Linked DNA regions of Coturnix japonica. The main gene of each other region encodes a partner of the protein of the gene in region 2 in a complex. Links are inferred from orthologs where the notes say so. Each region holds a gene or a part of one and is shown on either strand. Other genes may lie near its edges.

Evidence for each region.
Region 1: the proteins of SPAG9 (region 2) and ARF6 are in contact, whole or in part, in a crystal structure (PDB 2W83), measured with the Homo sapiens proteins. The link is inferred for Coturnix japonica from reciprocal best matches to the Homo sapiens genes SPAG9 and ARF6. Residues at the interface, in NP_001124000.1 of Homo sapiens: Lys431, Asn432, Ile435, Val438, Asp439, Thr442, Cys443, Asp446, Val447, Gln449; in NP_001654.1 of Homo sapiens: Glu13, Arg15, Lys34, Phe47, Val49, Glu50, Thr51, Thr53, Lys58, Asn60, Trp62, His76, Tyr77, Thr79.

What each region holds. Positions count from the first base shown.
Region 1 is NC_029520.1:52,349,712-52,354,118, forward strand, and holds the start of ARF6 (ADP-ribosylation factor 6), read left to right. Parts: upstream 1-1,482; 5' UTR 1,483-1,969; coding exon 1,970-2,497; 3' UTR 2,498-4,407. UniProt on the Homo sapiens protein: GTP-binding protein involved in protein trafficking that regulates endocytic recycling and cytoskeleton remodeling. GTP-bound form plays an important role in the transport of multiple palmitoylated proteins form the Golgi to the plasma membrane.
Region 2 is NC_029533.1:8,785,716-8,789,527, reverse strand, and holds part of SPAG9 (C-Jun-amino-terminal kinase-interacting protein 4), read right to left. Parts: intron 3,672-3,812; coding exon 3,604-3,671; intron 1,537-3,603; coding exon 1,388-1,536; intron 266-1,387; coding exon 94-265; intron 1-93. UniProt on the Homo sapiens protein: The JNK-interacting protein (JIP) group of scaffold proteins selectively mediates JNK signaling by aggregating specific components of the MAPK cascade to form a functional JNK signaling module.

The DNA.
Region 1 (4,407 bases), on a different chromosome or scaffold from region 2:
GGGCAACCTGTTCCAGTGCGTCACCACCCTCTGGGGGAAAAACTTCCTCTTTTTCCCTTCTCACTGTGCCAAAAAATAGTAAGCAAGATAAGCAGCAGCATATTAAAATAGGGCTGTCCTGACAACCCACATTGATTGGGAGGGTAAACGATATTTGAGTGATAAAAAGAAAGGGTATCCCTTCTTTGTATTGACCCATCCATCTCCTTGAAGTTTGCTTATTGGTTATGACACAAAGCTGAAGTTATCATTGTCTTCCACCACATTCTTGTGACAGCACTTGCACCGTGGCTGGAGGACAGAACAAGCAAACACAGGCTGACACACCATGACAGACACAGCATCACACGCTGGTAGCTGTGCAGCTGGTGAGGGAAGCCATAAGGAGCAGGCAGCTCTGCGGCCAGGCCCAGCCAGCAGCAGGCCCTGCAGCCATCTGCAGATCTCCTGAGCCTCTAATCACTTTATAGCTCTAATTACTTTATGCTCTCAAGGCTGGAGTCCCACGCTGGCAGCTCAGCAGGACGTCCTGCAGGGACACAGCGGGTGCTGCCTCCTGCAATGTTTGCCTTCAACATGAACAGGTCGGGCCCTCCCAAGGACCTGGGCAAGCCTTGAATTCTTTAGCAGGTCGGTGAAGGCCAAGCCCTGTGAGCAGGGCAGGACTTGGGGTCACCTAGAACACGCTCAGGTATCGCGAGGGCTTTATGTGGGTGTTTGACCTTGAGGATCAACCAGCAGCACGAGAAGTGGAGCTTTATTGAGGGTGTGTGAGGTGCCAGCACTGCTCCAGGTGGGGCTGTGGGCTGTGGGTGCTCATGGTGAGCTCCCATTACACCCGCAGCGCTCCGTCCCAAAGGCCTTAGCACGGCACGGCCAGCAGCAGCTCCGAGCTGCGGTGCTGCCCATGGACACAGTGCGGGCTGTGTGCAGCCATGTTAGTTCAGAGCAGCCACGTGTGGAGCTGGGCAATGACACAGAGCAGCCGCCCAGCTCCATAGCGACAGCCAGCACCGGGCACGGGGCTGAGGGCCTGACTGGGCCTAACAGCCAGCACAGCTCCCACATCTCAGCTCTCTAACCGCACACCGCCCCCCATATCCGCCCGGTCCCTTCCCGCGCTGTTCGTGTCCCTTTAAGACGCTCCCGGTTCCCTCTGACGTGCGATCACGTGACTCCTCTCCCCACAGCAGCCCGGCCCCGCACGCATGCGCACTGCGCCCCCAGCCGCCCCACCCTCTTTGGGGTCACGCTGCGCGGCCCGCAGTGCGCATGCGCGGCTCCCCCCGTCACCCCGCGGTTCCCCCCCGCTACTTCCGGTCCCGCCGTTCCTCTCCTCGCACGTTTCCGCCCACGCGGGAGGGCGGGGCTCCTTCCGCCCGCTCTGCGCATGCGCGGTGCCGCCCCGAGGCCGCGCGGCGGGAAGCTCTCCGCTCCCCCCGCCCATCGGCGGCGCGTGCGCGTGCAGCGGGGCGGGGCGCGGTGCGCATGCGCGGTGCGGGCGGAGGGGAAGTGATTTGGGCAGCGCGGCGCCTTCCGGCGGTGCGGGCTGAGGGAGCGGCGCGGAGCGGAGCGGAACCGGCTCCGAGCGAGGCCGGCCCCGACGGGACGGAGCCGCGCTCCGGATCTGCCTCGTCCCGGCCCGTCCCGCCGCACGTGAGCCGAGGAGCCGAGGAGCCGGGCGGAGCCGAAGCGGGATCCGGGCTGACCCGCCCTCCGGGACCGGCGGGCGAGCGGGGCGCGGCGTCGGCGCGGCCCTCGGACCCCCCCGCGTTGGCCGGGCCTTCCTTTCCTTTCCCCCGGCCGTTCCTCCGTCCCGCTCCCCCGGCCGCCGCCCCATGCTCGGTTCCCGCTGAGCCGCGGCCCCGGCCCCGCTCGCTCGGGCCGCCCGGGGGCTCTCGCCGCCCGCACCTCCCCCTCCCCCCGTCCCCGCCCCGCTGCAGGCGCCGGGCCCTTGGATGCCGCCGAGATGGGCAAGGTGCTATCCAAGATCTTCGGCAACAAGGAGATGCGGATCCTGATGCTGGGGCTGGACGCGGCCGGCAAAACCACCATCCTGTACAAACTGAAGCTGGGCCAGTCCGTCACCACCATCCCCACCGTGGGCTTCAACGTGGAGACGGTCACTTACAAAAACGTCAAGTTCAACGTGTGGGATGTGGGGGGGCAGGACAAGATCCGGCCCCTCTGGAGGCACTACTACACGGGCACGCAGGGCTTGATCTTCGTGGTGGACTGCGCCGATCGCGACCGCATTGACGAGGCCCGCCAGGAGCTGCACCGCATCATCAACGACAGGGAGATGCGGGACGCCATCATCCTCATCTTCGCCAACAAGCAGGACCTGCCCGATGCCATGAAACCACACGAAATCCAGGAGAAACTGGGCCTGACCCGGATCAGGGATAGGAATTGGTACGTGCAGCCCTCGTGTGCTACTACAGGGGACGGACTCTACGAAGGGCTGACATGGTTAACGTCCAATTATAAATCCTAATGAGAGTAACTATTTAGTCTACAAAGAATTAAAGAGAAAAGAAAAAAAAAAAAAAAAGAAAGAAAAAAAAAAAGAATAAATGACCCGCCCGGCTTTCCGGAAGAATGATTCTCTACAGAAAAGTAAAACAAAAGCATCCATAGGATTACGATCACCTTTCTCCAATGACCACCCTTTCCTTCTCCACACCTGACTGGATTCCTGTTTTAACTCTCCTCGCTTGGCGTTAGGATGCTCTAACCTCCGAATGTGACACGAACACGAGCACTAGATGCTATGGCAGACCTCGGCAAACAGGGGAAAGACACATTGTAGACTTGCTAAGTAACTTTATTTTTCTCTCTCTCTCTCAAAGCCCTTGAGATGGTTTGGTTGTTCTGGGGCCGGCTGGGGGAGGGCTGCCGTTCTCAGTGTATGCTTTTCTGGTTCGACTTTTTTGATGATATTTTTTGTTCCTCTCTCACTTTGCTGTAGATTGCTACTCTTTTGCCTTCATGCGGAATATGTTGATAGGTCGACTTCATCTAGTAAACGGAAAACTCTTGCTTCAAATCAAACCGCAGTCTGTCTTTTTATATTAAGGACTTTTTGTAAAGTTCTGTTAATCTGTAACTGAACAGTGACTCTTGGTCTGGCTCCGTATCTCAGCCTCGTAACGAGACCAATTCCTGCCCGCGGTGGCAGATAGGAATACCATTGTAACACGTTCAAAGTGCATATCAGGCATCGTGTTCACTAGGTAATGTAAGAACTGCTTTGAAATGTCAGCTGTGAAGTTCTGAACCATACATCATGCATGAGAAGGGATGCAAATGAGTTCCCCATCCTACATGGCGACCATATAGCGAATAAAACACGAATGATGTAATCATAGTTCCAGGGTAGATACTGTTCCGTTTCTGTCTTGCATTGCCAGTTTAATGATGTTTAGCTGCAGTTTTTACTCCTTCGGTCAGTCTCCAGTTCGATGTGAGACAGGTTCCTTCCAGCAACACGCAGCAATAACCTGCAAGCGTTGCAACAAGTTTTACTCCAAATTGGCGGGTTGGGGCAGAAGTCGAGCACTGACTTGCCTGCCCCGGGATGAAGGCAACGTTGCTTCATCCTCGGGCCTCTCGATCTTAAAGGATTTCTCACTTTTGGCATCACCTTAAGGCATCTAAATCTCCACGGGGTTTCTCATTTCTGAATGTGTGGCATGGAGAGAACAGACAGAGCCCGGCTGCTCGAGCTGCGGTTGTGCAGCGGGGCTGAGCTGAGGGCTGAGTTCCTGCATGGCCGTGCAGCGTCGGCCCTGAGTTGTTGCTGCAGTGCTGTAGGAAGGGAACCGTGTTGGCTGTCTGAAACCCATTGAGTAACTGCCAATGAGAGCGGGGTGGAGAGAGTGAGAATACGACTATGAATGTAAACTTCCATAATTAGTTCTTAAAGGGCAAGCAGCTCATTCGCCGTGCCACAGCCTGCAGGTGTGGCTGGCAGAAAAACCCCACCCAGAGCCAGTAATGAGTGTGAGGTCTCAATCAAGTGTTAGTGCTGGCCGCAAAACATACTAAAGCAGCTGGTTCTGATTCAGCCTTAAGGATTAACTTCAGATTTCCTCAAGGAGTTAAACTCGATTGGGGAATTCTAGGAATGTATGCTACAAAACCAGAAGAAAATGGCTTTTTTTTTTTTCCTCAAGGATATAAGTTTGATGTGAAATTGGGGCATTACGCTACGGTTGTGCAGCGTTGACTCTGTGTGCAAAGTCCATTGTGTATGGAGCTCTTACCAAAGATGAATGGGAAGATTAACACACACATACAAAATAACGCTGAATTCACTTCTGGAATTGAATGTTTTGGACCATGTCGAAGTAACTTTGGACCATGTCAAAGTAACTTTGGACCATGTCAAAGTAACTTTGAATC
Region 2 (3,812 bases):
ATCTGAAATGAGAATTGCCTGACTCATAACAGGAAAAGAAAGCCCGTGACAGCAAGAGGTATAAGAACATTACAGTTTCTCTTATCAACTTACCTAACATTTTGCTTACATAAGGTTCAATGTCCACATCTTGCAGATGTTGATACGTGTGTGCATGATAGAGACGCAGGGTAGAGTCCAAACGAATCGACACCCATACCCCATCACCCACCCATGCCAGCTGTCTCACTTGGCTTTCTCTTCTTGGGTGTGCATCAAATGACTTCTATAAAAGATTGGATCTTGAATTAGAAGATAAATACAAGAATACAAAGGAATTCTGTGCTACCCTTACATGGTCAATATTGGTAATTTCCTTAAGTCATTTACTACCCTCTGATTTGTAAGGCCACTAGCAGACACTCAGTGCTTAGTTTGGTCGGTATTACCATACGATGCTGATAAGCAGTAAAAAGGCTGATTTGCCTGCCCTGAAGTGTGACCTCAAAGCCACAGTTTCCTGCTGCATCCTCATTTATGTAAATTCCCCAGTCAGTTGTGATTTCTATCTTTTCTATCTCAGAGCCTTTTCAGCATGAGGTCTTCTAGTCACTGCAGAACATATATATACCCCAAAGGTGTTTTTCTTCCCAGTTCTGTCAAAGCCTTGCTCTTGCATACTGACTCACTCCTGTCAACACAACCTATCCAGCAAAACAGTTCACTATTGTATCAATTCTTACAGGTTTCCTTGCATATATAGTCATTTCACAAACAGATTCAGAATTGGGCCCTTAATATTCTCAGAGGAGCTGAGCAGTCACCCTCCTGAAGTCTGATCCATGTCACAGACCAAATATAAGAAGCTGAATTATTAATATTGCTAATTGCTTTCATAAACCACAGGATCTTCATGCACTTGTATAATCAGAACACTGCAGAAACCAGCTTACACACCTTACATAAACACAATACTCCATAACTGGAGGGAGAGTACATTCAAGATTAGCACTTACAAACCTCTAAAGTATGCAGAGAGACTCTGAAGAAGGTTGTGGGCGGGTGGAGAACATAATGAATAAGTAAATATGCGTAAATGAAAAGAATGAGCTTGGATCTAGCACTGCAAGCTCTATAGAGACCTGAAAGGACACTGACTAGTTTTCTGGCCAGGACAAAGTAGGGAACTAAACCCCAAATTAATCAGTTTCAACAAATGAAAACTGCATTAAATTTTTTCGGGATCGTTACATCTTTGCAAAATTAAGAATTACTTCCCAAAACAAATTTGTTGGCCTATTTAAGTGCTGATGAACAAACATTACTCTCTGCAGTTACTCAGCAGTCTGTAACATGAGATGGCATTAAGACAAAACATTTAATTATTTTAAACACCATTTTAACTTGCCTCTATTTTCATGGCCTTAGGTTGAATAACATGGATTTTGTTCTTGTAGCCACACCAGACTCTGTCATACACAACTGTCATGCATCTTATAGAATGATGCGGCCGGCCCAGGTCTAAGAGGTGATAGTTTGTCAAATCCCACTGACCATCTTTAAAAACAGAAGCAAAATAAGAAAAAAACAACAACAACAAAAAAAAACAACAACAAAGCACAGGTTCCTATCAGTTTAGAAGTAACTTAAAAGCACAGCTAAATAAATACCTTAAGAATAGCTTCATTTTTCAAAAGCACTGTAATGATCTGGGAAAGTCAGTACAAATGCATGGGCAGGCTCCACGTTAAAAATACAGCATTTACTTGTATGAACTACCAACATCCCAAATGCTACTTTGTTTTTATATAAGGTTTACTATATTCACATTCCAAATATGTCAAAACATTTGTAAAAACAGAAATTACCTAGTGTTCAATGCTTTACTTGGTCAGGCATCAGTATATATGAGAAGCAGCTACCCACACGGCACCAAGCAATGGCTGCTTGACTGAGCATAGAGATGTTGGCCAGTGCATCAAGATTTATTTTTAACATGTTGTTAGACCTTAGAGTGGTGCCTGTTATCTGATGGAAATCACACTAAAATTGGTCACCCAACGCCAAATGAAGCTCTGCTGCAGACACCAATATTTGCTTGAGATACTTTAAGGGATTGTAAGCCATTAGAATTGAAAGGAAGAAAACATCACAACTTCACTCAAGGTGCATCTTTTCCATTATTTATATCAGTGAACACCAGGAATGGTCATTTCAACTACACAAGGGAAAAGAACAAATGAACAGGGAGCCTGCAGAGAGAAGCCACTAGATGACAAGTTCCAATTACTCTTCAGACATTCCCCTGTAGATCCTTATTCCAGAGGCTGAAGAACAGAGTCTGTCCCAGAGTGATGTGGACAGAAGTTCTACAGAGATGCTCACAAAATTCTATGGAAGGATTTGGCCACACACAACTTTAAAGATTAATAACGGAGCAGAAGTCAAATATTGGGCAGGACTAACAGTGATCAATGCAGGCTTCATCAATGAGCTTTCTGTTGCAAGTGCAGATACCTACACTACTTTTTTGCTTCCTATGATAAGAAAGAATTCCAGCTATGAACAAGAACAGTGCAAATATTCTGTGGGAGTCAAAATAAGCCCACATTTCCCTCAAAGGCCATTAGTAACACTTACACTGCATTATATAAGAACCTAGAAACAGGCAGCCAGAAGGGCTGACAGGGTCACTTTCTTTTAAGCCACATAACAGACAGGACTACCTGAAAGAAAAAGCCTAACAAAAACTGAAAGAACCAGAGGATTACAGCTCTGCGAAAGATTAAAAAAGCCTTCAATAAAATAATAGAGGGAAGAAAAGAGGAAAGATCCCACTGCAGACCCATAATCCGAAGGAGACTATAACATCAGAGGACAGGACAATTTAATGCAGCTCACAATGTGCTTGATTTTCCTGCAAGGTGCACTTAGGGCACTTCTAGTAAATGTTATGTATAGACAGAAAAGACTTATGCTTCCATTAAAAAGAGTAACAGATGACCAAGAAGTCTTTCCCTCACTTTGACAGAAAACCTGAAGTATATTCAAGAAATGCTATTCCACCTTCAGATATTTGATAACATAAATGGTAGTGATCTTTTCCAACCTGCCTTCAGGAATATACCATTCTTGTTGCTTAGAAACATGGCATCACAGTTTTATATACGTGTATATATGTATATATATAAACCATGGTCACTATTTAGTTTAGCAGTTCATGAAGAGAAAATCTGCAGTGGGTAGGAGATGCACAGAAGTGCAAGCAAACACAGGGAAGGGGGCAGAGGTGCACACAGTTCATATACCACATTCAGGACTTCACTCATTCCCTATACCTTTAAGCACCTTAAACAACTTGTCAGAATACGTAGTTGTGAGTTCAAATATAAGAACCTGGGTGTCTCAGAGCAAGAAGAGGGGATTCCTAACTGATGTATTTAAAGTTTCCCTGAACTTAAGTACTAAAAAAAGTTCAAGTACCTGGAAATGAAAAAGAAATGAGATCAAGGATTCTGTAAAATGGTCACTAGGAGCACATCTTCAAAATGCTATTTATAAGTGGCACATTTACTTCAGAAGTACTGCCATAACTTCACTTTCAAGACCCAACGGAATGCTTACCAACTCCTCGGTGAAATATTGCTAGTGTTCCATCAGCTAGTGCAACTAATACTATTCCTTTCACATGTCTGGTAAAAGAAAGGAGGTACAAGAACATACACCATTAGGTCGCATTTCCCAAAATGCAGGTTTAAAGCACAAGTATTTTAAATTTCAGTACACTTCTTACACTAGCATTAGCTCTGCTGCTTTGGTCTCCAGCTCAAGAC